Rattus norvegicus: one gene and its partners. The protein of the gene in region 1 interacts with the protein of each later gene in a pairwise test. Links are inferred from orthologs where the notes say so. Each region holds a gene or a part of one and is shown in the gene's direction. Other genes may lie near its edges. The genes, in order: Krt40, Ccdc185, Mta1, Atpaf2, Dock2, Hdac4 and Sh2d4a.

Region 1 (4,245 bases):
CACATACATGCATATCCATGCATACACACACACACACACACACACACACACACACACATACACACGCACAGTGGACTTTTATTGATGCTGAAAGCAATTTTCTCTGTGTAATTTTTGAAAGTGAAATAAAAACCACAATTAAAATCAGACAACATGAAACTCCAGTTTATAGTTATAGTAGAGGTGAGATCCTAGAACCAATGTCCATCTAGTTCTGTACCAGAGGTTCTTAACTCAGTGAAACTGTTAGCTGAAACAGACATCACATAATCATATTCCCAACATCCAAATATTTTTCATTTTCATGAAATTGAGACTTTCCTAAATAAAAAAGAGGAGACAGACTCCATATTTTTTTAAAAGTAAGATTTTTGTGGCTTCCTTGGCTCTATTCCCAAGTATAATGGGTAAGGAGCTCCGTCACAGATTACAGCTAAACCCTCATTGCAATTTCTCTCTCTGCTCTCCTTAATATAGGTAAGGACTGGGACTATAGGTTGAGGTAAATCAATTATGTGCCATGAACAATACCTTATGATTGATCTCCAACTTCAAAGGAAGGAAGAAGGGAGGGAAGGACGGAAGGAAAAAGAAAGAAAGACTGCTTTTCAAAAACAGCATAACGCTTCTAAAATGTAAACATGAGAAAGCAAAGCTTGCGTGTCTGACTATCCACTCAGTGCACATCCAATCTCACCAACTAAGCAGGGTTAGGCATGCTTAGTGCTTGGCTACAGACCACAAATTCTAGATGACCAAAGATCGCAATTCAGATCTTGATAACCAATTCATAGTTTGACTCAATTATTCTCATCAGTCTATAAAATGAATGCACATAATTTGCACTCAGCATAGACCTTTTCCTGTACCATGTAAGCACATACTTCAAACTCACTAAAAAAAAGACACTTCAAGATTGAGATTGCTAACCGCCATTTTTACAGTGGTTGGTAGCACAAACAAATACAATTTAATAAGCTGTGATGTCCATTTGTAAAGTAGACAAGAGCAATCAATTTTCAAAATCAAACCCTGTTGGAATATTACTTTCTGTATCTCCAATGATCTCTACCTTTAATTACTGATGGCTCGATTTTTTTCTTTGGTTCCTTATTCATTCAAAAAGGTAGTGCTTCCTATGGCCGTTTGCTGAAATAAGAATTTTTATCCAAGCAGCATGTGGAAATGGCGTTAGTCCTGATTTAGTAACCTGAAGTTATCCTCCTTTTACGAGGCATACAACTTCCTCCGTAAATAATCAACACTAATGAGATGTTTGTAGGAAAGCTGGCATCTGCAAGGCTAGAGAAAACATCGGTGTGTCCTGTAAACACTCATTTGAAGGGAGATATAAAAGTCTCAGGAAGCCAAAAGTCCTAGACCTTTGGGAGACTAGGCGAGACCTAAGCAATACACCATTCAATCTGTTCATTCCTTCTCAGAAGATGGCTTCCGAAGGCTCCCCTGACTGCTGCTCTTCTGAGCCCTATGCAGGGGCATCGAGCTGCACAACTGCCTCATTCTGCCCCACCAGCACAACTTACCTTCCCAGCACCTGCGCCACATCCAGATGTCAAACCCCGAGCTTCCTCTGCAGGGCTCACCTCCCGGCCGGTTGCCTCTCACCGTGCTACTTGACTGGCGGTTGTAACAGTCCTTGCCTGGTGGGGAACTGTGCATGGTGTGAAGAAGGGACGTTCAACAGTAATGAGAAGGAGACCATGCAGTTCCTGAATGACAGATTGGCCAGCTACCTAGAGCGGGTGAGAAGCCTGGAAGAGAACAATGCAGAGCTGGAGTGCAGGATCCGAGAGCAATGTGAGCCCGATGCCACACCGGTCTGCCCGGATTATCAGCGGTACTTTGACACCATTGAAGAGCTACAACAAAAGGTTGGGTGTCTCACTGCCCTAATGTTTCCCAATGTTCTCTGTTTTCCAATTCTGTTTTCTCTCATAGCTGTACTAGGGCAGGTTGCTTTGTGGATGTAAAACAAAGGAAAGGGGGATTCCCAGAGTTAGTTCAAATAATCAATCTCATTCTCAGAGAATTATTGGGTGACTATAGAAATGTCACCTTGCTGTAGACTTTGTCTACACTGTGAAGGAAATTGAGTTATGACGTCTTCTAAACCCCATTCTTCATGTATCATTGCGTGTTTATATTCTTTATCAAACAGATATTGAATGCCATCCATTTGAGTTCTGGAAATCGTTCTCTATTTGTGTGTATGTGTGCAAAATGTGGGGTTGGTGGGCGACGTGATATATGATCGTGTGGGGAGGGAACACATGCCTGAGTGTGGGTAAGGAGGTCTGGGGTCCATGGCAAGTACCTTGCGTTCCTCGCCTTGTTTTTGAGACAGAGTCTCTTCTTGAAACTGGAACTCACTGATTTAGCTGCAGTCCCTGAGGCCTGGCCAGGGAGCCCCAGGGATCTTACTGTTTCCACCTCCTTAGTACCAGGGGTTAACCGACACTGAGTATTATACTTACCTTTTTCACATGAGCTCTGTGAGATTGAACCCAGATCTTCCTACTCGTGTTTCAAACCCTTGACCAACAAAGCCACTTCTCCTTTTTTAATTGATGGATTTCTGTGACCACAGAGATGCAATTCTAACAAACACTAGCAGTGTGGGAAACTTCAACAAAGCTCAAAAGCCAGTGATGGTGACAAAATGCCCTGCATCACTGATAAAGGAAACCTTGAACCCCAGAGACGGCTCAGCAGTGATTAACAACATTGTACTGCTCATGAGCACCTGAGTTCAGTTCCTACCATCCAAGTGTGGCAGCTCACAAGCACCTAAAACTTCTCACCTTCTTCTCACTGCACAAGGCTACACTCTTACCAACATACAGACACACTCAAATGTGTACACTCTCATGTGCATACACATACTCTTAAATATACACGCTCACCTGCACATACACACACACACACACACACACACACACACACACACACACCTACACATACTAAGAAAGAAAAGGTGAAATCCTTCATTTTAGGAAGGGAAGGTCTTTTGCTTCTGTATTTTGTTTCTCAATTGGCACTGAATGTTTTTTTATTCTGTGAAGTGGCACAGTTAATAGGAATCATGGGTTGGAAGAGACATTATGTTAACTTGGAAAGACTTTCATAAACTAATGAGTGGCAAGGCTGTTAAAATAGATATGTGGATTTCTTCTAAAGAGCTCCTCACTAAATGATGACTTACCTCTTAGATATTGTGCACGAAGGCAGAGAATTCTAGACTTGCCGTGCAGGTGGACAACTGCAAACTGGCTGCCGATGATTTTAGGTCAAAGTAAGTCAAATTATGTTTATTTTGTTAAGCCACAGTGTGCTTTGTGTATGCAATTTACACGTTAAATTTTAAATTTAATTATAAAATAATAATTAACAATAATTAATGTCTTCCAGTAAGAGAGAAAATATTTTCTGCATAATATATATTTTTAACTGAGAATGTTTGAACCCTGAACTCACCTTCATTTGGAATGTAAGGAAAATTGAGGCGTGTGACTCTCTGGAGGCCATGTGTCATCCAACCCTGCATCCCAGTACTCTGAGCCAATTAAGCCACTTCCCTCCCTTTCTCCTACTCTGAAAGGTATGAGAGCGAACTGTCCCTGCGCCAGCTGGTAGAGAATGACATCAGTGGTCTTCGTGGGATCCTGGGTGAACTGACCCTGTGCAAGTCAGATCTGGAGGCCCATGTGGAGTCTCTGAAAGATGATCTACTTTGCCTTAAGAAAGACCATGAAGAGGTGAGTGGAGTGGCCGCTGGGCCAAAGACTATAGGAGGAGTTCTGTTGAGAAATCTCATGTGTATAAATTGAACAGGGACAGACACTGCCTATACTGGAACAAAACTAGAGACATTCTCACTGTGTAGCATGATTGCCCCAGTGTCTCTCAAGGTAGATGTGATGTACAGCATGCATCATTAACATAACCCTCATCAGTGGCACGGAGGTGAGGTCACTCTTTTTCCTGCCATTGCTTGGGTTGAGAAGTAACTCAACTCATGGTTTTTTCCATAGCTCTATTGTATAACAAGGAAATTGAGCTGATAAAACTGACTGTGTATCCCCTTCCAAAAAAGGGATAAACAATCACACAATACTTGGAATCATGTTTGTAGGTATTGTGTGTTTATAATTTGATTCTGTCATAAGCTATTAAAATGAGAAGCAGATTGATGTAACAAAGAAAAAATTTACTCTTTGAATATTT
Region 2 (3,750 bases), on another chromosome or scaffold:
TTCCACAGGAACCATTAGCACACAGAACCCACGGGTTCAGTTGCATTGTGGGGTCAGACCACATTTTACAGTAGCTTTCAATCTCCCAACAAACTTGGAAAGAGGGCTCAAGCCTTCATTTGGCAAAAGGCCACATTCTGAGACACACAATGCAGTCCGTTGAAGATTTCACTGCCAGATAAAAAGGAGACTGATTGTTCTCAGCATCGAGGGGATGATTGGCAGCTTAGCATTCACAAAATATCTCTTTCATGTGCTCCTGGGAACCCTGGCTTGACTTGCAAGCCCGGGCCTTCCAAGGAGTCATACTGGGATATGGAGAAGCAGGTGTGCTGTGCTGGCCCAACTTCACTTGGCTGAACACAGAAGATCCAGAGTCACTGGCCCCTTGGCAAAGGGGAACGAATCTCATAAAAGTGATGGGGGGTGAGGTGGGGGGGAAGACAAACGACAAATAAATGAAATCTTCTAGGGGCTATTTGAAAACAAAGCAGGCAAGAGTCATATTTAGATAAAAAAGCAAAGCTGTAATTCACACATTAGAGGAAAATCAGAATTGCCTGTTGCAGTTCTAAAGTTCACAAAGGTAAATGTGAAAGCATCCTTAGGGTTCGCTAAGCCCAGACCAGTGTGGTTCAAGGGCTGCTTCCTTTCCACACCTTGCATGCACAGATGAGGATCAGTGAGGTTGGTGAGATCTTAGCCTGTTAAAAGCACTTGTCTCAAAGCCTGAGTTTGACCCCTGGGACTCACATGGTGTAAAGAATCAGTCAACTCCTACAACTTGTCCTGAGCTGCTCATACGCCGATCATGGCGTATGTATTCGTCCATACATACATACACACACTAGAACAAACATAAAAATAAAAAGAGATGTGACTCCAAAGGACTAGCAAGATCCTCCTTCCTGGACACTACACTTTGCCCCTCCCTCCCACTACTTTCTATTTTTAAACTGGCGCCCTCGGCCCGGCCCGGGGGCTCCCACAATCCACTAATTCAGGGACCTGAAACACCGTTGCTGTCAAGATTCTCGTTTCTAAATACCACCCTTGTTTCCAAGACGTCCAACCAGCTCGTCAAAGCCCGGGTACACTGAGGCCTTTAAAGACCATGTGGCACCAGGATGCATTATGAAGTGGCAGAAGCGTCACAGGCCACGTGGATCGCAGGATTTGAGCGTGGGCTGGGTGTCCACAGTGGCCCCCTGAAGGTCCGCTGACCTTCCTGTAGACTCTGGGCCAGCCAGGAAGGGAGCATGGCCGGTTTCCATCTCTTCTCCCCAAAGCCCTATGGGGAGCTCGGGGAACCCTTGGCAGCTGGAGAGCAGGAGTTCGCGGACCAGCTAGGCTGGCATGAGCTGTCTCGGAACTCCTGGGCCCAGACTGCCGGAGCTGAGATCGAGACCGAGGTGCCCTGGGTGCACCCGAAGTGTTCGCCCGCCGGGCGGTCCCGTCGGCGTGGGTATATTGCCTCGCCACGAGAAAGCCACAGCCTGACACATGTGGCTCGCAGACCCTCGGACCGAGCCAGGAAGCACAGGTCTGGGAACCTCCGCCTGGAAGAAGCCTGCGGGATGGGGGAGGCACCGACCAAGTCCAGCAGAACTTGGCAGCAGAAGCGGCAGCAGCAGCCACCGGATCAGCCCAGCCCACGACACCCTGCAGCCCCGGGAGTTTCGTCCCCGCAGTACCCGGGGGAAGCTTTCAGCCCCCCGAGTGCTGGGGCTTTGCTTGTAGAAAAGACACACAATGGAGACCGGTGGGCAGTACCGGTGTGCAGACATGTAGGCCCCGGGTCCCCTGCCTTGGATCTCACAGACAAGTCCTCTGTGCACTCCCTAGAGCTCTGGAGGCAATCCACTTGTGTGTGCACCCAGAATAGGAAAAACCGCGATCGGACTAAGTATTACCCGCCCTCTGCCTCCTGCAAAGAGAAGAGTAGCCAGCATGCTCGGGTCCTCAAGAGCAAGTTGGACGAGGCGGTGATATCTTTCAGGGACCAGAAGATCTTGGCCCTGGTGCTGAGCAGGCTCAAGAAGGCTCAGAGGATGCGAGAGCTGCAGCAACAGGCTGCAGTCGCCTGGGAAGAGCTGAAGCGCTCAGACCAGAAAGTCCACCTGACCCTGGAGAGAGAGCGTAGGCTGTTGCTGCTGCAGAGCCAGGAGCAGTGGCAAGGACAGAGGGAACAGCACAAGCCTCGGAGGGGCCATAGCCATGAGCAGCCTCGCCAGGGCCACGAGCAGCAGGGACAGCGGCGGGACCGCCAGGCAAAGAGCACGGTTCAGCCGGAGAACCAGAGTGGGTGGACGATGCAACCTGACAAGCCAGAGAACCAAGGCCTAGACAAGATGGATAGGGTGCAAGTGCAGGCCGAGCACCTCAAACACTGTCAAGCGCAGAGTCTGCGGGAGCAGGAGAGGGTGCTGCAGAGTGTGCGGGACCTGAACAGGCTGCAGCTGCAGAAGAGGCTGGAGACAGCAGGTCACAAGAGGGAACAGCATGCGATGGAGAGCCCGAAGAAGGTCCAGGGGAGCAACCTGAGTACGGTTGTTAACGTCCAGGCCCGCAAGGTTCTCATGGACTGCCAGGCCAAGGCGGAGGAGCTCCTCAGGAAGCTGTCTCTGGAGCAGAGTTTCCAGAGCTCTCAGAACATGCAAGAGGGTCTGGTTAAGGAGCGGCACAGAGGGCAGCAGGGGAAGGCCCAGACTGAGGCAGAGCAGTTCCAGAGAGTGAAATGGCGAGAGGAGGAGGCGGAGGAGTTGCTCCAAGAGAGCAAGCGGGTGCTGGCAGAGCTGGCTGAAGAGAAGATGGGGCAGGCCAGGAGTCATGCGCACAAGACCTCCAAGGACAGGGCGCAGCACCTGCAGGAGCTGAACATCCTGCGGGAGAGGAACCGTCATATCTTGAAGCTGAAAGCGGAGAAGGAGGAGAAGTGTCACATTGAGGGCATCAAGGAAGCCATCAAGAAGAAAGAACAAAAGTTAGAGCAGATGACCCTAGGGAAAGATCCCATCTTCCAGGAGTACCAGAAGGTTCCCCTAGCCTCCAAGATAAACCGCTGCTATGACAAGGGGGCAGCAGAGACCCAGCTGCCCCTGCACCAGCAGGGTGGAGTCTACTGAGAACCCAGGAGGAAGAAGGCACAGCCCAGCAGCCAGAGACATCGTCATGCAATTCCGTAAAAATCCGATTTTAATCGAGCATTGATTTTTAAAAAAGTATATACAGTAGCTGCATTTTCCTCCCATGGATTAGTTCATCGATTCTCTCGGATGCTGTAGATGTGGTTGGGGCAGGTGACGTGGGGCGGGGGCGGGGGAGGATACGAAATCTGCTTGGCTTCGTGGGTTTTGAGGTGAAATACCTCTCAGGGAATGGAGAATCACACATCAGGCAGGAGTTGGAGGAGCCGGAGACGAATGCACAGTTGGGAGTAGGGTTTTAGGATGTGACTTGGTAAGCCTTGCCGCGTGTGAAGCGGGAGGAGCCTCCCAGGGGAAGCAGCAAAGGTGGGCTGGGAGAATCTCTAAGCAACTAGAATGGAGACTCTGGTCTAGTGCGATCCTTTCTCCAGAGCCCCTGGTACATTTGTAAATGTAAACGCCTACAGTATAGACACTCATTTGTAACCTAGCACTTGCCACGGACCATCACCCCATTCTTCTTCTTCCTATAGAGTGATGTTCTGTAGTTAAATGCTTTTTTCTTTCTTTTCCTTTCGTTCTTGTTTTTGTAAATGGCTGCCTA
Region 3 (3,500 bases), on another chromosome or scaffold:
CTTTTGTGGGCAGGTCCTTGCTCGGGCCAGGCAGGCAGCTCAGTGTCTGGCCAGTAGCCAGCCTTCTGCCATCAGACCTGGTGGCCTGGGTGTGGACGCTGTCTGATGGAGCTGCTGTGTTTATGGGCTGTGTCTGGATCTTGTAAGCTCTTAGCACTTACCCAGCTGTCCTGTCCAAGGCATTGGGCGAGGCTCTACTTGGCTGTCACGCTTCCTGAACATACCCTAGGTAGCCTTCCTGCTCCAGTGCTTTGATCGCTGCTCCAGTGAGCTCTGGTAGCATAGGGACTGCCTCCTTCTAGCCTAATCAATCGATGGGCTCGGGGTAAGAAGGTGTTATTACTGCATGGAAGCTATGGTGCTGCTATTTCTGAACTACACCCTTACCTCTTCCATTCCCACAGAGACTCATCCCCGCCCGCCTAAGCCCGACCCTGTGAAGAGCTCATCCAGTGTGCTCAGCAGTCTGACCCCTGCCAAGTCAGCCCCTGTCATCAACAATGGCTCCCCTACCATCTTGGGCAAGAGGAGCTATGAGCAGCACAATGGGGTAGATGGTGAGTCTGAGCTTAAGGACTGGCCCTGTGAAGAGACCAAGGCAGGTCTGCTGGGAGCTGCAGGGCTGGCCCTCTAAGGAAGTCAGGCCTGAGGGCCAAGGGACTAGGGCTAGCCCTGGAGCTCCACGTGACCCTTATTCAACTGGCTGTCTTAGTTGATGGTGTTTTCTCTCCCTCTCTCTCCTGTTCCTGGGCACTGCCAGGCAACATGAAGAAGCGCCTCTTGATGCCCAGTAGGGGTAAGGCCTGGGGCGGCCGCTGGTGGGGTGCTGTGGCCAAGTCCTGTCGTGATGCCTGTGTGTACTGTCTGCTAGCAGACTGGGCGGTTCAGGGCACGTACAGGGGCAATCCACACAGACCCGGCCACAGCCCATACTTCCTGTAGACTCGTCTCTTGGAGGAGGGCCCAGGAACCCTGGGTCTCTGGCCGTGGCCTGTCTTGGCCTGAGCCATGGGTGGACTGTCCTTGGACGAGGCCCCTGGTGCCCCCACTGCTATCGCGCTGTGACTGCTCGCATGCCTTCAGCCTTGCTTGTAGGGCGGCTAGTGCTACCTGCAATTTTTGTGTGCCCTGCCTGATGGGGACATTAGGGATGGGTTGGTGGCTAAGCTTACATACGGCCCTTGTGTCTGCTGAGGATTAGCTTGGAGTCTGCTGATGGGGTAAGGGTTGTGGGGCACAAACCTGCTCTGGGGATGAGGGATAGCACCAAGTCTGGATGTCAGTGTGGGAAATACTAGCCAGCCAGCATGAGCCTGCTCAGGCCCCTCCCCAGCTATCAAGACAAGAGCCCAGGAGGTAGCAGTGGGCAGTGACTATCTCACATACCTTATTCCCTCAGGATACTCCCTCTCAAGGTTGCTTTGGAAGCTTGCCAGCTGTCAGGTACCCAAGCAGGCATATCCCTTTAGTGTGGCTATGAGACCGGCCATGCTATGTACACCTCAGTCCAGGGGCCCAGGCATGGCCTCCCAGACCTTGCTCTGGTTTCAACAAAGAGCTTTTCATTTTCACTGAACTTTTTTAAAGTCTGTCATGAAGACTTGGGTATAGAATGTAGTAGGAACTCATTGGCCCTGTGCGTGCTCTAGGCAGCTCCCATGTCAGGGGGCGTAGCCACAGAGAAGTGGCTGTTGTGAAATTGTAAAACTAGGCCTCAGTCCTGGAAGTAGCCTAGGAGCCACAGGCTAACAAGTGGTGCGCCTCAGGCCTGGCCTTGCGTAAATAAGCAGGGCACATGGGAACTCTGGGCAAGGTGCTAGCCCCTGGCACCCAGGGCTCTTAACTCACTAACCCCTGCCCCATACTGCCTGCTGCTCTGCCCTGCGGCTTAGCTGCCACGTGCATGCCGCTCACTCTAACCCTGGCCTGTGTCTTCTCTCTCTGCCGCCTCATCCCTCTGGCAGGCACTTACCTGGGTAAGTAGTCCCTGTGACAGGGCTTTGTGTGGGCACAGGGTTGGGGTCCCACTAGGTACTGTGAGCAGGCTGTCCCTGTCTGGGTGCCACAGACCAGGAAACGGTCCCTGGGAGCCAACGAGTTACTAGGGAAAGGCTGGAGCCAGGGTCCTGGAATAGGGCAGGTTGCAGGTAGAGGACATGGGGCAGACTGTTGCTTCTTAGAGACAGGCAGGCTGTAAATCTCACACTTGGGAAACTGAAGCCAGTAGGATCTTGGGTTCCAGGTAGCTGGGATACATGATAAGGCCCTGTCTCAAAATATTTTTTTAAAGAAGAGGGAGCTCTCCGATGAGTGTGTGGAACTTGGTGGATTGTCATGGGTCCAGTGGCATAGCCAGGCATGGTAGAGGAGTCCTGTCTTGTTCCCTGCCTGGGGCCAAGCCATCCAGGGACCTGTTTGGCATACATGCTTACACATGGCAGCAAAGCTGGGGTACAGCGCTTGCTGATGTGGACCGCAGCTGGCACTCCTGCTGGGGTGGGATGCGAGAGCCTCAAGTTTGCCCCTCTGCCTCATTCCAGTGACATCTCAGTGTCTTCTTAGACCCTCAGCCTACGAGTATGCTGCTGTCACCAGAGATCTGTTTCCTACCTAGCATCTGCTGTTAGTGTTTTGAGCAACCAGCAGACAATTGCTGCCCTAAGGATAGAGATGACAGCCTGCAGCTGCTCTCGATGTCCATAGACTTCACCTGTCTGTCATAGCCTGTGTCTGAGGCCTCTGGCCTCCTACCTGGAGCCCAAGTTGCCAAACTGCTGTACCTTCTGTGGCATATACATATATATGTGTGGTCCGTGGGGTTGGCAGGGCTGTGGGCCCACCTGGGCTAGCGAAGAGCATCTTACGGGCCCGTTGTGTGGGCTTTGGTTGGAGGGGTGGCTCATGAGGTACATGCCCACTTCCACTCTCATGGACTTGGAAGTGTTCCCAGTCAGTGTGGATGCTGAATGCCCTTCCCCTGTTCTGGCCTCACTTTGTGTTCTCTTTTATCAGGTCTGGCAAACCATGGACAGACCAGGCACATGGTAAGAATGGGTGACTGGAGACTTGGCATGCTTCTGTATGTGCACACATCCCTCAGGGTGTTGGGGAAGTGGCCCGGGTAGCTCCCACTCCTCACCAGGTACCATGGAGAGCATCTGGGAGCCCTAGCCAGACCTAACAGACAGTGTAGACCCACTGCATTCAGGTCTCTACAGCCCTCCAGGGGCTGCCTACCTGGGCTGTGGGTTAGCTATGGAACCTTGAGGCCTGGCTGCCCATGAGGCTGGGGGTCTTGGGCTGAGGGTTATAAGGTAAGGGCAGGGTACTGTCTTCCTGTGCTCATACATTTGTTTACCACAGGGACCAAGTCGGAATCTCCTGCTCAATGGGAAGTCCTACCCCACCAAAGTGCGCCTAATCCGAGGCGGCTCCCTGCCTCCAGTCAAGCGGCGGCGGATGAACTGGATTGACGCCCCAGATGATGTATTTTACATGGC
Region 4 (3,942 bases), about 39 Mb from region 1:
GGAAGAACCGACCCAGGCTAAAGGACGGCTAGTCATGGGGGTGCTTCCGGATCCCAAGCGGGAGAGTCAAAGGCTCCAAGTGTGGGACAGTCTTCGGGGTCTGTCGGAGGCTGGCCGCTACAGGCTCTGAGTCTAGGGGTGGGTTAGGGGTAGGGTTCGAGAGTGTGACATCAGCTGGGCAGGTCCCGGTGGGAGGCGCCGGGTGCAGGAGGCCCCGGCAGTGAGGGCCTGGTCCGCGGCTGAGGGCTCGAGGAGCCCAGGGCAGGCCCGGCCCGTGAGCGCCGCGAGGAGGCCCTCGGGCCGGGCCTTGCCGCCTGGCGCTCACCTGCAGCACCACCTCTACGTCGTACGAGTTCCCCTTGCTCTTCTGGTGGCCACGGAACTTGGAGCCGCTGTAGAGCAAGCTGGTGGCCACGCCGGGCTGCTGGGTGTTGATGGGCGGCGGCGGGATGAGTGAAGCCGCGGATGTGGCTGAGGCACCCGCCGGCGGGGGACACTCGGTGCGGACCGGCATCGCGGGGTCCCCCGGAGCCAGGGCTGGGGGAGGGGGAAGGAACCGCCGCCGCCGCGCGGGAGCCGAAGCTGCGGGGAGGGCGGACCCGGGCGCGCACGCGCGGGGGAGGGGCTGGGGAACCACCCGCCCGCTGCCGGCTGACCGAGCGCTCGTGTCGCCACCTGGACCCCGAGACCTGCAAGCAGGGCCTCCCAGTCCTGAGCTGGGCTCCCCTTCCCACTTGCCCTCGCGGGCTCACACATACACACACACACACGCACACATGCACACACACACGCGCACACACTCACTCATACACACACGCGCGCACACACACATACACACACACACACACACACTCGCGCACACACTCACACACATACACACACACACACACACACACAAACACACACACACTCTACTGCTTCCAATTGGCGCGGACCCGCCGGAGAGGCGGGAGCAAGCTCACGCGGCGCTTCCGCCCATTGGCAGACAGAGAAAGCACGTGGTGCGGTGCGCGAATGGCCCTCTGGGACTTGTAGTTTTCTTCCCGTAGCGCGGCATGGAGGGGGCGGGGCGAGCACGCTTGTGATGCTGATTGACGGGGGCGGGGGCGGTACGCAGGGGGCGCGTGGCTGTGACGGCGTGCCGTAGGTGTCATGACGAAGATGGCGGCGTGCTGAGGAGGCTGAGGGCTTTGAACCCTTGGTGAGAGGTTTCCGTACGGAACCAGCGAGGCGTTTGGGGGACTCTCTTCGCTCTATTCCTGTACTGTTTTCACGTATGGGTCCACCCAAACCCTTGGGCATGATGTGGCGAATCTACCCCCGGCTGAGGGACCGGTGGCGCGGTCTCTTGGACCGGCCTCTCGGTGACCCCACCGTTTCATTGTGGCCGGGGCCAGCTCTGAGGCCTCCAGCCCGGGCCTACGTCCCGCCAACAGGTGAGGCCCGGACTTCTGTTACTTTTTGTTCAGGAGCCAAGTCGGGCTCACCTGGCGGAAGGTTTCCGACGTGCAGTGCGGGGTGACTGAGGCAGGGTTCAGGCCCATGAGAATATTCAGAGTAATAGAACTCTGTTTCAGTTTGAAAAATGACATCCAAACCAGTGCGGGAGTGACTTTAGGGGACACAGCGTTTCCAGGGTAGGAGATATTTGGCTGAGGCTTCTCTCAGTTTCCTTTCTTTTTCTTCGCCTTTTGCTTGTTTCATTTTTCAAGACAGGGTTTCTCAGTGTAGCCCTGGTTGCCCTGGAACTCACTCTATAGATCAGGCTGGCCTCGAACTCTGAGATCCTCCTACCTCTAGTTCCGGAGTACTGGAATTACAGGCGTGCACCTGGTTCAATTTTTTCCTTTTAAAGGGAAACAGGAGTTCGTTGATTTCAGAAAGGAAAATCTAGGCTTTCAATCAGGACTTCCAAGGTCACAGAGCAGACTGGTTGAAGTTGTGGAGGCAAAGATTAGCTTGACTGCTTTTTGTCTCCAGGACCCAGCCAACACAAGACTTGGCACAGAGCAGGCTGGCTTTAAGTCTAACACCCTCACACACTTCCTTAAGGGTTTGCAGGCCCTCTGTCCTAGTGCAGTGCCACGACCTCTGCATTCTCTGCAGCCTTCTCTATAGTGACGCTTTATACCAGGCTTCTTTGACCTACTAAGGACTGTAATCCTGAAAGAAGGTTATCTCATTGCTTCTGGAGTGAGATTTTACCAGTGAGGTTCACTTTGGTGAATGAAAAGTAATGATGGCCTCCCTCCCTTCGTTGGGTTACATGTTTTGTGTTGAGGGCACGTGGTCTCACCTGAATGGTACGCAACATCAGATGCAGGACTCATTATGCTCACTAAACAATAGTTTGCAATACACTGATGTGGGAAGTACGAAGGACTTGAGAGATCACAAGGATGAGTGTGTACAGGGTGATTGAAAGGGCATTCAAACTGGGGCTTGATAGATGAGTAAGAGGTTGCTGGGGGGGTTGGGGATTTAGCTCAGTGGTAGAGCACTTGCCTAGCAAGCGCAAGGCCCTGGGTTCGGTCCCCAGCTCCGAAAAAAAAGAAAAGGAAAAAAAAAAAAAAGAGTTTGCTGGGGGAGGAAAAGGGTGTAGCATGTCCAGAGGTGATGACTGGGTGTTAGAGATCTTGCTGCAACACTGCCCTCATTAGGCAACAATTCCATAGGCAGTTTGGCATTGGCAGAAGAGTACAAACCTTGGGTCTCTTGTTGGCTAAACTTCTGAGGTACTGTGGTCTTGGGCAGGTATGATGTTGTTTTCTTTGGTGATCTGAAGCATGAGATTGCTTTTAAGGATTCTTTAGGCTGTAAATTCCATAATTTTTTGTTTTACTTAGTATGTATATGTATATATGCCCTTGGCATGTGCATGGAGGTCAGAGGACAACTAGCAGGGGTTGGCTGTGGCTTTCAGGGATTGAACTGTGGATATTGGGTTTTGTGGTCAGTGTCTTTACATGGTGAGCCATTTCCATGGTCTATAACCCATAATCTTATATAAGTGGAAGAAGAGTGGATGCAGCAGGGAGCTGATTTTTACTTATCAGGACATAAACGAAGGCCTAAAAATGGGCTAGGAAGAAGCTTAGTGGTGTCACACACATGTATCAGCTGCTTGGGAGTCTGAGATAGGATCACTTGGGGTCATGGGGGAGGGGGAGGAGAACAGGGCTTGACTTCCACATATCTCATTGTGCCTCACTCATACATTCCTATTTTCTTTCACATTTGACTACCTACTATGTGCTAGATAACGCTAAGAGCCAACTGGTAAGTCTGTATACAAAAGAAAAGATGGCAGATCAAGCACTTCCATGTTGGAAAACAAAAAGTGTCTACTCGTTTAAATTAACCCTTTGCCTATTTAGTGACCTCCCGAATGTCTTTGTTTATGCCTTGCCTCCCTAGGATATGTTCTGCTCTCCAAGTCCTCACCAGGTGTGAGATGTTTCTGTGTATCTCTGAAGCATATAAATTATTAAGTCCTTCTTGATGAAGACTCTAGTTGTCAAGGTCTCTGAGGGACAGCCACACCATGGAAGGTTGTGTGGAGAGGAGGGACATTCGAAGGGCTCACTGCAGCATTACAGGAGGAGGTAGTGTGGTGCAGAGACCTTTGTGAGGCTGTGGCCACCCTCCTGTTTTCTGCCCAGAGGGAGATGTAGTTTGGAGAAGCAGCATTTGGGGCAAATTCCCAAAGAAATAAAAGCTTGAAGTCCTGTACAAATTGCCCCTCTGTCCAAGGCAGCTTCTCCAAGTTTCTGCCACTTTAGAGGCATTGCCTGCTTTGCCATCCTCATAGGCGTGTCAGGGACCAGACTTCTACCTGCTTTTGAAATAAAGTTTTATTGGAACACAGCCACATACTCATACATATTGTCTGATTTTGTTATATTGGCCAGAACAACCTAGAGTATTGACCTCTGCTCCAGA
Region 5 (3,500 bases), about 66 Mb from region 1:
AGAAGTAAAACACACAACTCATCCTATTATGAGTCCATCTTCTTTTTCATACCCTTAAAATTCACTGGGTTGCCTGACCTATCAAAGATTTGACGTTCTCTAAATTTTGCCTTGTAAGTATATAGCATACAAATAATAGATCCATTTATCGATCCGTCCTCCTGTTGGTAAATGGGTGTACATTCCATTCCCTCAAGGTACATGTAAGAGTAGAATTGCTGGTTCATTCAAGTCCAGCCTTCCTGGATATAAGAAACAGTTTTTCAAGGTGTCCGTACCAGCTTCCCTGTTTGCCAGCAGACCTGAGGAGAGTCTGAATCCCTCTCCGTTCCCACTCACACACATACATAATCACTCACATAAAACAAAAGTTACCCTTAAAAATTATTACACCATATTGTGTTATCCTTTCTGATCCTCAGAATAGATGGCAAGGTAAACCTCAGAGGCTGTACGCATAGACGGAGACTGAACAATGCCCTTTTAAATGACAGAGGGATCGTTGAGGATGTGAGAAAGGACATTATAACAATCCCTCGAACCGAATAAAAACAGAAGTACAATGTACCCAAACCCATGGGATTTGGCAAAATGTCTATTGTGAAAGAGTGGCGTGCTCACACAGGAAAATGTGTATTCCAAAGCTCTGATGGAGTGTTCTGTGGATGTTGAAGTCTAGCTGATCTGTAGTTTAACACCCATAATTCTTTGCTGGCTTCTCTTAGCCTGGTTGGCCTGCGTGCTTGTCACTGGGCATCCTTGCCCCTCCCTCCTCCCTCTTCACACCTGGAGATTGATGACCAATTTCCTGTCTTATCTAAAGTGTAACACTAAAGCCATATTATCTTTATGGAAGACTCCTCTGGTAATACTTTTAACGGAGCATCTTAAGCTTTCCGTAGACTTTCCTCCACATCCGTCTGTCCCTTTGTTCCCATGCTCCCTATCCTGCCTGTTAATTTTGGGTGAGTTTTTTGCAGTGCCTGGTGACCCCTGCAGATTCCTCCGAATTCCCAGTGAAGCTAATTGGAATCAGTATGCCAGGGAGAAGGGTCATCTGTCAGCAAGGTGGCCTTATTGCCTGGCAACTAAGTGACCCCCACGTTTGAACCTGCGCACCTACACGGGTCACTTGTACTCTCTAGAAGCAGATTCTTCCACGTGGTCAGCGGGAAGATGATCTGGTTGCCACGCTGGGCCATCTGGGCGCCGTGCAGTGGTCATCGCTCCACTCCTAAGCCATTTTCTTTTCATCTGCTTGTTTTCAGTCTGGGGGCGGCTGCTCCTCCCCCCTCGTACCTTCGGGTACAGTGCCCCCTGAGTCCCAGGTTTCATGATCTAGTTGTTTTAGAGGACAAGTTTCTGGTTCTTGAGAAAGGAGGAGCGCATTACACCTAGCTGCAAGGTGAAGCGATGGGCACCTTGGGCATGGATCTAAACCTCAGCTTTCCCGGGACAGCCTTGCCTCTGCCCCCCAGTGCCTCCTTCATTCCTAGAAGCAGGATGGCCTCTTCTAACCACCAACTCCCTCCTCTGCTCTCGAAGGTCAGTTACAGCCTCCAGCTACCTTCCTCCTGCCCATGCGCGGCACGCTTACAGCTGAGTGCCCATCTCACTGCAGAGTGTGTGTCTCCCTGCACGTCTCGTCTCTCAAGACAGCTAAGAGAAGGAGACAGAAATGGCTTTACCCCACCCTGGTGGAGATGCTCGTTTCTCTAAAAAGGTTCTATCCCCTATCTTGGCTGTCTTAGCTATTTTACCAGAGGGCCGTGCAATTAAGTTTCTCAAACTTTCCTTGGAGCCTTGAGCCCTGCGGCTCTGTTCCTCCCCTTCCAGGTCTCTGAGGTTCCGTGCTCTGACCTCCTTCGTGGATAAGACAAACTGTGTCTCTCTCTACCCACTCTTCCCTCATCTCATGTCTTCCTGGGGTGTGGCAACACTGTCTAGAAACTCTCTACTAATAAAAGAACTTTCTGATACCAGCACACTCATAGCAGCTATGAAAAGTATAATTGGGCCCCACGGTGTAAGAAGGGGCTGTGGCCTCTCTTCCCTTCTCGCTCTTCCCTGTTGCCTGACTTCTTATCTTCATAATTTCACTTTTTTTACTCCTGAATACTTCTTAAACAAAACTGTGAGGCAAAGCCCTGGAGAGTCCCTCTTTCTGTTCTCTGAACTCCGACACGTTGCAGAGTTTTTTGAGGACTCAGACTTCCCCATGTCTGTGGCTTCTAATGCCCGGGACAAGGACAAGTCTGGGTAAACTAGAGCATCTGGGGTCATTGTTACCCTCCATTATAAATCCCAAGGCTATACCTGTCCAGGGACCATGTGGGTCTCGGAGCACCTGAAGGCCCTTGAGGAAGCGTTAACAAGTCAACTTGAGCTCCTGAGCCAGCCCCCCTTAGCTGAGGGCCATGGCTTGCTACCTCTCTCTTCAGATCCCCTTCCTGGGAGCAGGAATTAAGATTCACGAGAAAAGGGTGTCAGACAACCTGCGCCCCTTCCATGACCGGATGGAGGAGTGCTTCAAGAACCTGAAAATGAAGGTGGAAAAGGAGTATGGTGTCCGAGAGATGGTATGAGTGATCCCTGTGACTGGGGACGGGGAGGGTTGTGGGAATAAGAGCTGAAAGGGGCTGGCCATGGGGGAACTTTCCTATATGCCTAGACCTTTGAAAATCACCCCTAAAGGTAAACCAGTCATAATTGGACCTATGGAACTATCGCTTACTCAAGAGAATGTAGTTATAAAGGCTACATTAATGGAACACCTACTACGTGCTCAGCCTTCTATAAATACAGTTGATATATATCAAGTGATTAATATAAGCAGATTGTGCAATACTTTTAAAGTCCATATATATATGTATATATACACACACACATATATATATTACATATACACATACACATATATACACACACATATACACACACACATATATATATACACAAACAGATATATACATACACACACACATATATATACACACAAATAGATATATATGTACACACACACACACACATATACACACACATTATATATGGGTAGATTCCATGTGTTTTCAGATTACACTTTCAACTTAACAGCAGACTTAGCAGGATGTGACCTCATACACTGAGGAGCTTCTGTACGGAGGCTTTCAGATGAGGCCACCAATCACGAGTAGCTAGGTGAGGGTCACACAGGGCGAGGGAGGAGAGGATCCAAGACAGGGAACTTCCGTGTTATCAGGACACATCACCCTCTGGCATATTGGCATGTGATCACCTACCAGGGAGCTCACTAGAGCTCAAGTGTGGAGAATCTTTCCAAAGCTTGCACTACTCAGCCAGGATTGAGTGAATCATTAGTCCCGGGCTGGAGGTTCATCTCTGTTCCTTGTCTCCTCTCTGGAGGTTGTGTTGATAATATGTGACTCAAAGTCTTATCCCTGTAACAAGAGGGTTGGTCTCTCTGGCACAGGCCAGCCCCATCCCAAGCCCTCTCATTAGCA
Region 6 (3,500 bases), on another chromosome or scaffold:
AAGCAAAGATGAGGTCAGAGAGGGAAAGGGAGTGCTGTTTCTGACTGTGGCTCCCAAAGCCTAGTTGCACCAGCACCTGCGTCAGTGCTGAGTAGAGTGGCCCAGCCACTGCAGGCCACGGCCTGTTCTGCACTGGTGACAGGACTCTCAGTGGCCCTTATTGCCATGGCAGCATTCCTGATAGGCATCCTCTAGAGGGAGGCCTAGCCAAGCCGCAGCCCCTTGAGAGCCTTCCTGTCCCTGCTTCTTGTTCTGGACTTTCTGCCTGCCTATCTCATGCCAAGGCTGCAGCATGCGTGGCACCAGTGAGCTCTCACATTGTCAGCAAACTGTACCCAACCTGGAGAGGAAACAGGGAAGCCTGCCCTGGCAGTGGGGGCCATTTGACAGGGAACTAAAAGCAAGAAGCCTGAGGCCTTCTCAGCATCAGGCACAGCTAGTAGAATTGCCCACAACCATGTACTAGTACTCCCCCCAACTTTCCTAGAGGTCCCCTTGTAAGCCACAGTCGCCATTGAGCCCGGGGTTCTAAGTGGGCGTTCCTTTATTTTATGTGTCAGTACCAGTGTTCCTGCCTGGGTTAACAAGGTAGACTCCAGCCTTTAGGGAACTTGAATGTTGTCCAGTGGAGTACTTTGAACTGTAACCTTAAGAAAAACAGAAGGTACTCAGAACCATAGGTGGTACAAAGACACTGAAGAGATAATGACACTAAACAGAACACAGGATATGTTCAAGCCAGAAAGGAGCACAGAAGTTATTAGGGGTTGACTGTAGGGCCATAAGACAGAGAGTGTTGTGAGGGTACTAGGGCTCAGCTGTTCATAGAAGGGTATTGGGAAGAAAGGCCCCTCTCTCTGTTTCTCCTTTAACCTAGCAGTAGATGGGAGGTGAATGGCCGTGTGTGCTTTTCTGACATCTTTCTCCATGTTGATTAATAAAGATGTTGGAATGGAGCTTGTCTGCCCACAGCACACTTACCCTGCCTCCTCCTTTCAGAAGACACCCTGCACGCTTCCTATGACAGTCCTTACCTGTCACGGCCTGCTTTTAGCAGTTATTTTGATTTCTGACTATCATGGGCTACTATCCCTGGCACTTGTAACCACTTAGAACTGAGCCTTTACAATGACCTGACTGCCTTAGAGCCCAGTCACTTTGGGCAGGTCAGCCATACGTCGATAATACCTTTCTGCCATTCTTGACCCCGAGTGTGTGTGTGTGTGTGTGTGTGTGTGTGTGTGTGTGTGTGTGTGTGTGTGTCAAACAGACCGACTACAGACAGACGAAGTAGGGAGGGATAAAGAAAGGGCTTCAGTCATACTCTGACTGCTTGAGCACCTGTCCTTGTAGGCCCGCCTTTCCACCTCTGGCTCTATCTGAAGGTAGCTGACCTAGGCCTGACCTGCCATCTGCATCCCAGTGCTTATACTTCAACCTTTCTAGCCAGACTGCAGCTTGTCTCCCTGCTGTTCTCCACCCAGGGCCCAAAGGAAGTCCTTTGAGCCCTCTGCTGTGTTCTGAGCCCCAGGGTCTGTCTCTGCATTCCTAGCCCTGTTGCTTCCTCTTTTACCTGTAAGCTGCTGTGCAATGGTGGCCTGTTCCAGAGGCCCATCCAAGCTTCTCTTGTTCTGTCCTCTGCTATTACTCCCTAGCAGATGAAGCCACCTTCCCCAGGGAATTTCCTCCATGTCATCTAAAGATACTCTGTCCCTTCCATCCCTGCCATAGGACTGACCTAAAGGGCCCAGTCTCAGCAACCTGACATCAGACACCCAGGTCACCTCATCCTGTTAACAGTTACCTGTTGCCCCTGGTGCTTGCTAGAATGGTGTCACTTACCCTTCCCCCGCCCAAAGTCAGAGTTAGGAGTTTGGGATACCTGGGAGTAAGGTGCCATTAGCACATCACAAACTGTACAGGGGAACAAATACTTAGCAATGCATGTTTGATAAAGCCTGCTTGCTTAGTCTGCCCCATCAGCCGGAGAGAGGATTGACAGCTCACTAAACTGGCGTGGGCTTTATTCACCTAGCTTTATTGAGGCTGTTTACAGTGTACAGTGTGTTGGTCTGCGTGAATACAATATGACACAATCCCAGCCATGCCAGTTCACATGTGTAGGACTTCACTCAACCACCCCATTGTATGCATGTTCATACTCAGCATGCTTAAGATACAGGACAAGTGCCACCGTCACCTTTCTCACGGAACTCATCTATCCAGTAAGAAGCAGTGCCCTGTGGTCAGTGTCTCCCTGGCTTCCACTGTCTTCCTTTGTGTCTTGGGGTTTTAGGCATAAGATCCCCTGAGCAGTCTAGGCTTTCAGAACATAATTGGAGAAATCTTGCTTTCACAGCCGTGTGGTAGCTTCATAAAAGTTAGCTGGGGAGCTTGGCACATACTTTTGAAGGCGCACCACCAGTAGTGTCCCCCACAGACTGATGGTATGTCCTCAAGGTCCTTTCTATTTGGTACTTCCCTAAGCTTTCAGAGAGGCAGCTTCTGAGGACTTTTCGACCCTCCCAGTTCTGTACTGGTTTCTTACCACAGGGTGACTGACATCTGCCTCTGTTGCCCTTCTCCAGCCACAGTATGTCCTGCTAGGTGGCATCTGGGGATGTTACTCTCAGCATCTGTGGCCATGTGACTGACACTGGCCTCTCTTGAACTTACCTTTCCTCACTTCTGCACATTGAGCTGACACTTGCAACCTAACTTAGTTTTCCCTACCTGATACACGCGAAAACACTGCATGAGCACTGGGTACCTAGTATCTGTCTACCTCTGTCTGCAGGTCACATTACCTTAGCCCTGAGACCATTTCCTGTGTGTCTCAGATACTGCTAGGGTCCATGTTGTGTGGGTAAATGGTACCTGCTGGCCCTGGATCACACAGGTCCTTGGTAGAGCATTCCTGAGCTGTGGAAGGTGGAGGAACTTCTTCCAGTGCCACGGCTGTCCTGACCTCCTTTGTCTCCTCTGTATTGCAGATGATTTCTAAACCCAGTGAGCCACCTCGGCAGCCTGAGAGCCACCCGGAGGAGACAGAGGAGGAGCTCCGTGAACACCAGGCCTTGCTGGATGAGCCCTACCTAGATCGGCTCCCTGGGCAGAAGGAGCCCTCCTTAGCTGGTGTGCAGGTGAAGCAGGAGCCCATCGAGAGTGAGGAGGAAGAAGTAGAGGCCACTCGAGAGGCGGAACCCAGCCAGCGCCCAGCCACTGAACAGGAGCTTCTCTTTAGACAGGTGTGGAATGAGGAGAGCAGGCAGCTTGACCTTCAGCCTCTCCTGGCCTCTGAATCACAGACAGTCGCTTTTTGACCCTAGCCATCTATCTTACTGCCCTCATGGGAGGAAGGGTGTATTTGTTGTACACTCTCAGGTACATGCACATCGACATCTGCCCTCTGAAGGAGTGCATACACCGTCTCCATCATGTGGCCTGCACTTTTTCCTCTGGTATGGGAGGCTGTAGATTGTAACCCCAAAACAAGTGTT
Region 7 (4,224 bases), on another chromosome or scaffold:
CTGCTAGGCAGAGGACAAACCATTCTAAAGCACCTCATCTGGCCACCTGATTCAGTGCTGTGGAGAGAAAGCTTTAAGCCAGGAATCCTTGCCTGAGTGTATCACAAGCACCATTCCTAAATGGCTAAGTCTTGTTTCCTCAGAGTGGAGGGTGTAACTCCTGCCTGTAATGTTTTCCAACTTAAGAGTTTTTCTGGAGGAGTTAGGGGAGGGACTGAAGGAGCTGAAGGGGCCTTATCTGGCATCAATAGGAGCCTGTGAAGGCTCAATGCCCCAGTGTAGAGGAATGCTAGGGTGGTGAGGCTGGAGTGGGTAGGTGGGTAGGTGGGTAGGGGAACACCTTCATAGAAGCAGGGTAAGGGGGCATGCAATAGGGGATTTGCAGAGGGGAAACCAGGAAGGAAGATAGTATTTTAAATGTAAATAAATAAAATGTCTAATTTTAAAAAGTTTTCTGTGGTTGCGAAAGCCTACGGTAAACAACGTTTGGGTTCAGCACGTCAGGCTCCTAAATCGATTGGATAGGGTGTATAAAGTCACACCATGTTTCTTGTTTATAACAGTGCTCTCCAATCTCCCCAGTCTGAACTCCTGTGTCATCCCTCCCCACCCCCACTCATACACACCCCCAGCCCTGTTTTCTTCCACACATGCCCAAGGTTCCTCGCCTGTGGAAAAGGCTGTTCCACTTTTCCACTCTGTTCAGCTTTCTCCCCTCCCAGATAAGCTTAGGCTTCAGCAGTGCCCTGTGCCACCCTGGTCCTGATCACAGGGAACTTCTACCTTTTTTCCCCTCAGGTTTCTCTCCCTGGCTGCCCCTTTCCCTAGAGCCTGCAACATTCCAGTCTTTCTCTTCCTTGAACATGCCTTAAGCCACACCTGGAGTAACAAATGCTTCAGAGTTTGATAATTTACTTAATGTCAACAAAAGAGAAGGAAAAAGTAAGCTGTAGAAACGCAGTCACAGAACTGCAGCCAACTTGGCTGCAGGACCCAGGTTCCCAGATGGACCCTGCCTGCCTGCCATTGCAGGCTCCACCTAACAAGTCAAGTGTGGACAATTGTAATTAGTAAGTCCCACAGACCCCCCCTGAGGTGTCAGGGCAAACTACCCCAGACTGTAGACAGCACTCTAGATTAGCCAAGGACTAGTGGCCTTGCTGTCACTGGACCAAGGCAGCCAAGCCTTGCCTACTGGCCCTGGAGCGCCTCCAGCACCCGGGAGGGGCCTTGAGGGAGCGCCCAGTCAGTCACCCCAGCATGTGGGCGCGGCGGGGCGGGCCAGGGCTGTGATCTGGACGCCGAGTGTCCTTCTGGGCCCGAGTGTTTGTCCAGACAGCCCGCGCGGCTGGGTCTCTGCGCGGCTGGGTCTCTCTGCTTGTCCTCCCTTCTCTTCCTGGAGTTGCTGTAGGCAATCTGGAGGTGGCGGCGGGTGCTTGGACCACCTTGCCCCGGGTCCTGAGCAGGTAGGTGACCGGGTCGGGTAAAACGCTGGAGCATAGAGCCAGGCAGAAGGGTGAGCGAGGAGTGGGAACCAGGAGATGCGTCTCTAGAGCGAAGGGTGAAGCACAGAGGACAGGGAGAGGAAGAGACCCTGGTTCCCGCGGCCAGGCTGCTCACCTGTCCCTCCGGTCCCTCCTCCACGGCGCTCAGGGCGAGCTCAGGTGCCCAGAGGAACAGACCACAACGGCTGCGGGTGTCCGATGTCTCGTGTAGGGTGTCCAGTGTCTGCAGCCGGGTCCAGGTGAGTGGCGGCCCCAAGAACAGAGGGCTTGTGATCATTATACTAAGAGTCTCCAGAGGGAGGAGAATCGGAGGCGACTTGGAGTCTTTCAGGAAAGTTGTCCCGTCCGGGCTGTGCATGCACACGCGGCGAGTGCTAACTGGCCTGGGGCAGGTGCACAGCGGGGGCCACCTGCGAGGGTCTGAGCCACGAAGAGGGTGCTGGGTGTCGGCTACAGTACCCACAAATCAGCGGAGGTCCAATCACTGGGCAGTGCCATGTGGTCTCCTGGCCCGGAGACCTTCCAGACAAGAGTCCTGAAACCGGTTTCAGCACAAGCAGAACTCCATTAGTAAGTTCCCCGCGCTCCCGCGGGCGCCCTCACGTGGTACAGAGAGCAGCGGGCTCGTCGTCTCTCTGTGGTTCTGGGTCAAGGCTCAATCTAGAATCAGCCTAGCCAGAATTTTCCTCAACAAAAGTGAGCCATTACCAACCGTTCCTGCCTTAAGGGGTTCATGGGCCCTAGGTGGAGGCACTCAGTGTTTATAGGTTTTCTCAATGTCTCTCTTTGCTATGGTCCCAGAGAAGCAGGGATGACAGCCTCTTGCTTGTGTAAAGAAACAATGTATTTATAATTTTTCTTATTTAATAATAAGTGGAAGAAATACTTAGGCGAAGATTTAGCACAAATAGGCTTTTCTAGGAATATCTATCTATGAAATACTTCAATCTTGAGAGTATTTACAAAACTTCCAGCTCCTCTCACCACTTGCAATTCATTTTGTTTCCAAAATCATCATGTAAATTAATAAGAAAAATATTGAGCAATTCAAAGCCTGACAACAGAGAACGCAAACTAAGTTCTTACCTTTAGGGATATATGTACTGTAAATACAGAAATATTTTAATGAAGGTAGTTGTACCCAGAGTTTAATTATTATCATTATTGTTATTATTTATTAGGCTCTGTATTAATTAAAAACAATTGTGAGGAAAAGTGGAAAGTGTGAAAGTCAGACAAGATCTACAGGTATCCTGAGAACTTAACTAAATTTTGGACTCTTCAGAAATTTTTAGAGTGAGTGACAGGTATGGGCTTGTTCCCTGCTAGTTGTCTTTTTCAAGAAAAATGCCACAGGAGAGGAAAAACAAGTTAACTGGGCTGTACTCTGTGTTGGACCACGAGTGACTGCACTCAGTATGAGACCCACACATCACCAAACAGTGATTGTCCGGTAACGTGAAAGTAGGAAAACCCCTGGCAGGTTCACTTCCTCCTTTTCATTTCCTGTACTTGTCTCAATAGCTTCAAGGCAGATTTTATCTCAGGATCCAAGAGCTACAATGATCCTCAGGTTAGTTTTATGGATTAAGAAACAGGGTCTAAAGATGTGAAGTGACCTTCCAAAGTCATGGGTCACTGGAGGCAGAACCGGGAATCTAAGCTGGTGAACCTGTCTGTAGCTGTGCTGTGGTCTGCTCTAGGAAAGCCTTGGAGAGCTGGTTAACTGACATCACTCAGAGCCAATCAGCAGTCCAGTTCGGTGCCCATAGTCAACAGCCACAGGCACTTGTTAGCTGGGTTTCTTTTGTATTCCCTGAGGCCACCAGGAACCACGGTATTTTCTTCAAAAGGGATTAAACTGGCCCTGGTGGTTAGGGTCTATATAATCCCAATTATTTGAGAAATAAAGACAGCCAGTGTGGAAAGTCAAAAGCCTGTTTAGGCTAGGTTATATTAAAAACTGGCCTGGACAATTTAGACTCCATCTCAAAACATAAAGTAAAGGGGGCTGGGGGTGCAGCTCAGCAGCGGAGAATTTGCTTGGCATGTGCAAGGGTCAGGTTTAATCCTCAGACCACAAAACAAAACATGCCAACCAACCTTGATGCTTGAAGTCTATGTTACACAAGCTACCCGAAGCAAAGCAGAACAAAGAAGAGAGTTGCGCACCTCTTTACTGGAGTACCAGGGAAGGGAATGTTGGTGGAACAAGGCAAGTGGAGAGTAAGAGGAAGACAAAGTCACCACTGGACCAATGCGGGTAGCAACTCTGTGCTCCTTCCTGGATGGTGTATTTTCTTCTGTGGCCTCTCTAAGCTTATCTACACTTGATTACCGTAGGCTTCCGCACTAGCTGAGGTATCTCCAGTTTTAAAGTTCTCTTCCCAAGGACATTTTCTGATCTTTGTCCGGAAAATTTCAAAGTGGCACCAATCACTTCCTGATTCTGGACTCAGGAGTAAACTTGTAGCAGCCAGTCTGTGCAGTGGATACAGTAACTGCTGTGCTTCCCCCTCACTGTCTTCCTCAGTTCCTCTTGGCACTACAGTGGAAGGAGTGAGGGACTTAACTCTTGCTGAGTGCTTATGGTAGTGCAGGAAACAGTTAAGTGTCCGTTCTGTTATCAGAGAGCGCCTGGAGCCAAATCATTCCTGGAGGAATGTGCCCTTGGCTCTTTGAGGGAGTTAATTTTCAGTTCTCTCTGATCCTTCAAGAA

What was found.
Region 2: the proteins of Krt40 (region 1) and Ccdc185 interact in binary tests that used the Homo sapiens proteins (3 or more experiments, as listed by UniProt). The two-hybrid records come from large-scale screens. The link is inferred for Rattus norvegicus from reciprocal best matches to the Homo sapiens genes KRT40 and CCDC185.
Region 3: the proteins of Krt40 (region 1) and Mta1 interact in binary tests that used the Homo sapiens proteins (3 or more experiments, as listed by UniProt). The two-hybrid records come from large-scale screens. The link is inferred for Rattus norvegicus from reciprocal best matches to the Homo sapiens genes KRT40 and MTA1.
Region 4: the proteins of Krt40 (region 1) and Atpaf2 interact in binary tests that used the Homo sapiens proteins (3 or more experiments, as listed by UniProt). The two-hybrid records come from large-scale screens. The link is inferred for Rattus norvegicus from reciprocal best matches to the Homo sapiens genes KRT40 and ATPAF2.
Region 5: the proteins of Krt40 (region 1) and Dock2 interact in binary tests that used the Homo sapiens proteins (3 or more experiments, as listed by UniProt). The two-hybrid records come from large-scale screens. The link is inferred for Rattus norvegicus from reciprocal best matches to the Homo sapiens genes KRT40 and DOCK2.
Region 6: the proteins of Krt40 (region 1) and Hdac4 interact in binary tests that used the Homo sapiens proteins (3 or more experiments, as listed by UniProt). The two-hybrid records come from large-scale screens. The link is inferred for Rattus norvegicus from reciprocal best matches to the Homo sapiens genes KRT40 and HDAC4.
Region 7: the proteins of Krt40 (region 1) and Sh2d4a interact in binary tests that used the Homo sapiens proteins (3 or more experiments, as listed by UniProt). The two-hybrid records come from large-scale screens. The link is inferred for Rattus norvegicus from reciprocal best matches to the Homo sapiens genes KRT40 and SH2D4A.

The regions. Positions count from the first base shown.
Region 1 is NC_086028.1:84,996,099-85,000,343, reverse strand, and holds the start of Krt40 (keratin, type I cytoskeletal 40), read left to right. Parts: upstream 1-1,445; coding exon 1,446-1,892; intron 1,893-3,230; coding exon 3,231-3,313; intron 3,314-3,619; coding exon 3,620-3,776; intron 3,777-4,245. UniProt on the Homo sapiens protein: May play a role in late hair differentiation.
Region 2 is NC_086031.1:96,965,943-96,969,692, reverse strand, and holds Ccdc185 (coiled-coil domain-containing protein 185), read left to right. Parts: upstream 1-1,237; 5' UTR 1,238-1,259; coding exon 1,260-3,125; 3' UTR 3,126-3,250; downstream 3,251-3,750.
Region 3 is NC_086024.1:138,034,415-138,037,914, forward strand, and holds part of Mta1 (metastasis-associated protein MTA1), read left to right. Parts: intron 1-404; coding exon 405-557; intron 558-712; coding exon of another isoform or gene 713-796; intron 797-3,012; coding exon 3,013-3,044; intron 3,045-3,363; coding exon 3,364-3,500. UniProt on the Homo sapiens protein: Transcriptional coregulator which can act as both a transcriptional corepressor and coactivator. Acts as a component of the histone deacetylase NuRD complex which participates in the remodeling of chromatin.
Region 4 is NC_086028.1:45,717,708-45,721,649, reverse strand, and holds the start of Atpaf2 (ATP synthase mitochondrial F1 complex assembly factor 2), read left to right. Parts: upstream 1-1,142; 5' UTR 1,143-1,276; coding exon 1,277-1,436; intron 1,437-3,942. Other genes in the region: Gid4 (glucose-induced degradation protein 4 homolog), read right to left, coding at 326-514. UniProt on the Homo sapiens protein: Plays a role in the assembly of the F1 component of the mitochondrial ATP synthase (ATPase).
Region 5 is NC_086028.1:19,336,470-19,339,969, reverse strand, and holds part of Dock2 (dedicator of cytokinesis protein 2), read left to right. Parts: intron 1-2,441; coding exon 2,442-2,579; intron 2,580-3,500. UniProt on the Homo sapiens protein: Involved in cytoskeletal rearrangements required for lymphocyte migration in response of chemokines. Activates RAC1 and RAC2, but not CDC42, by functioning as a guanine nucleotide exchange factor (GEF), which exchanges bound GDP for free GTP.
Region 6 is NC_086027.1:99,998,638-100,002,137, reverse strand, and holds part of Hdac4 (histone deacetylase 4), read left to right. Parts: intron 1-2,993; coding exon 2,994-3,248; intron 3,249-3,500. UniProt on the Homo sapiens protein: Responsible for the deacetylation of lysine residues on the N-terminal part of the core histones (H2A, H2B, H3 and H4).
Region 7 is NC_086034.1:26,173,175-26,177,398, reverse strand, and holds the start of Sh2d4a (SH2 domain-containing protein 4A), read left to right. Parts: upstream 1-1,424; 5' UTR 1,425-1,466; intron 1,467-1,653; exon of another isoform or gene 1,654-1,744; intron 1,745-4,224. UniProt on the Homo sapiens protein: Inhibits estrogen-induced cell proliferation by competing with PLCG for binding to ESR1, blocking the effect of estrogen on PLCG and repressing estrogen-induced proliferation. May play a role in T-cell development and function.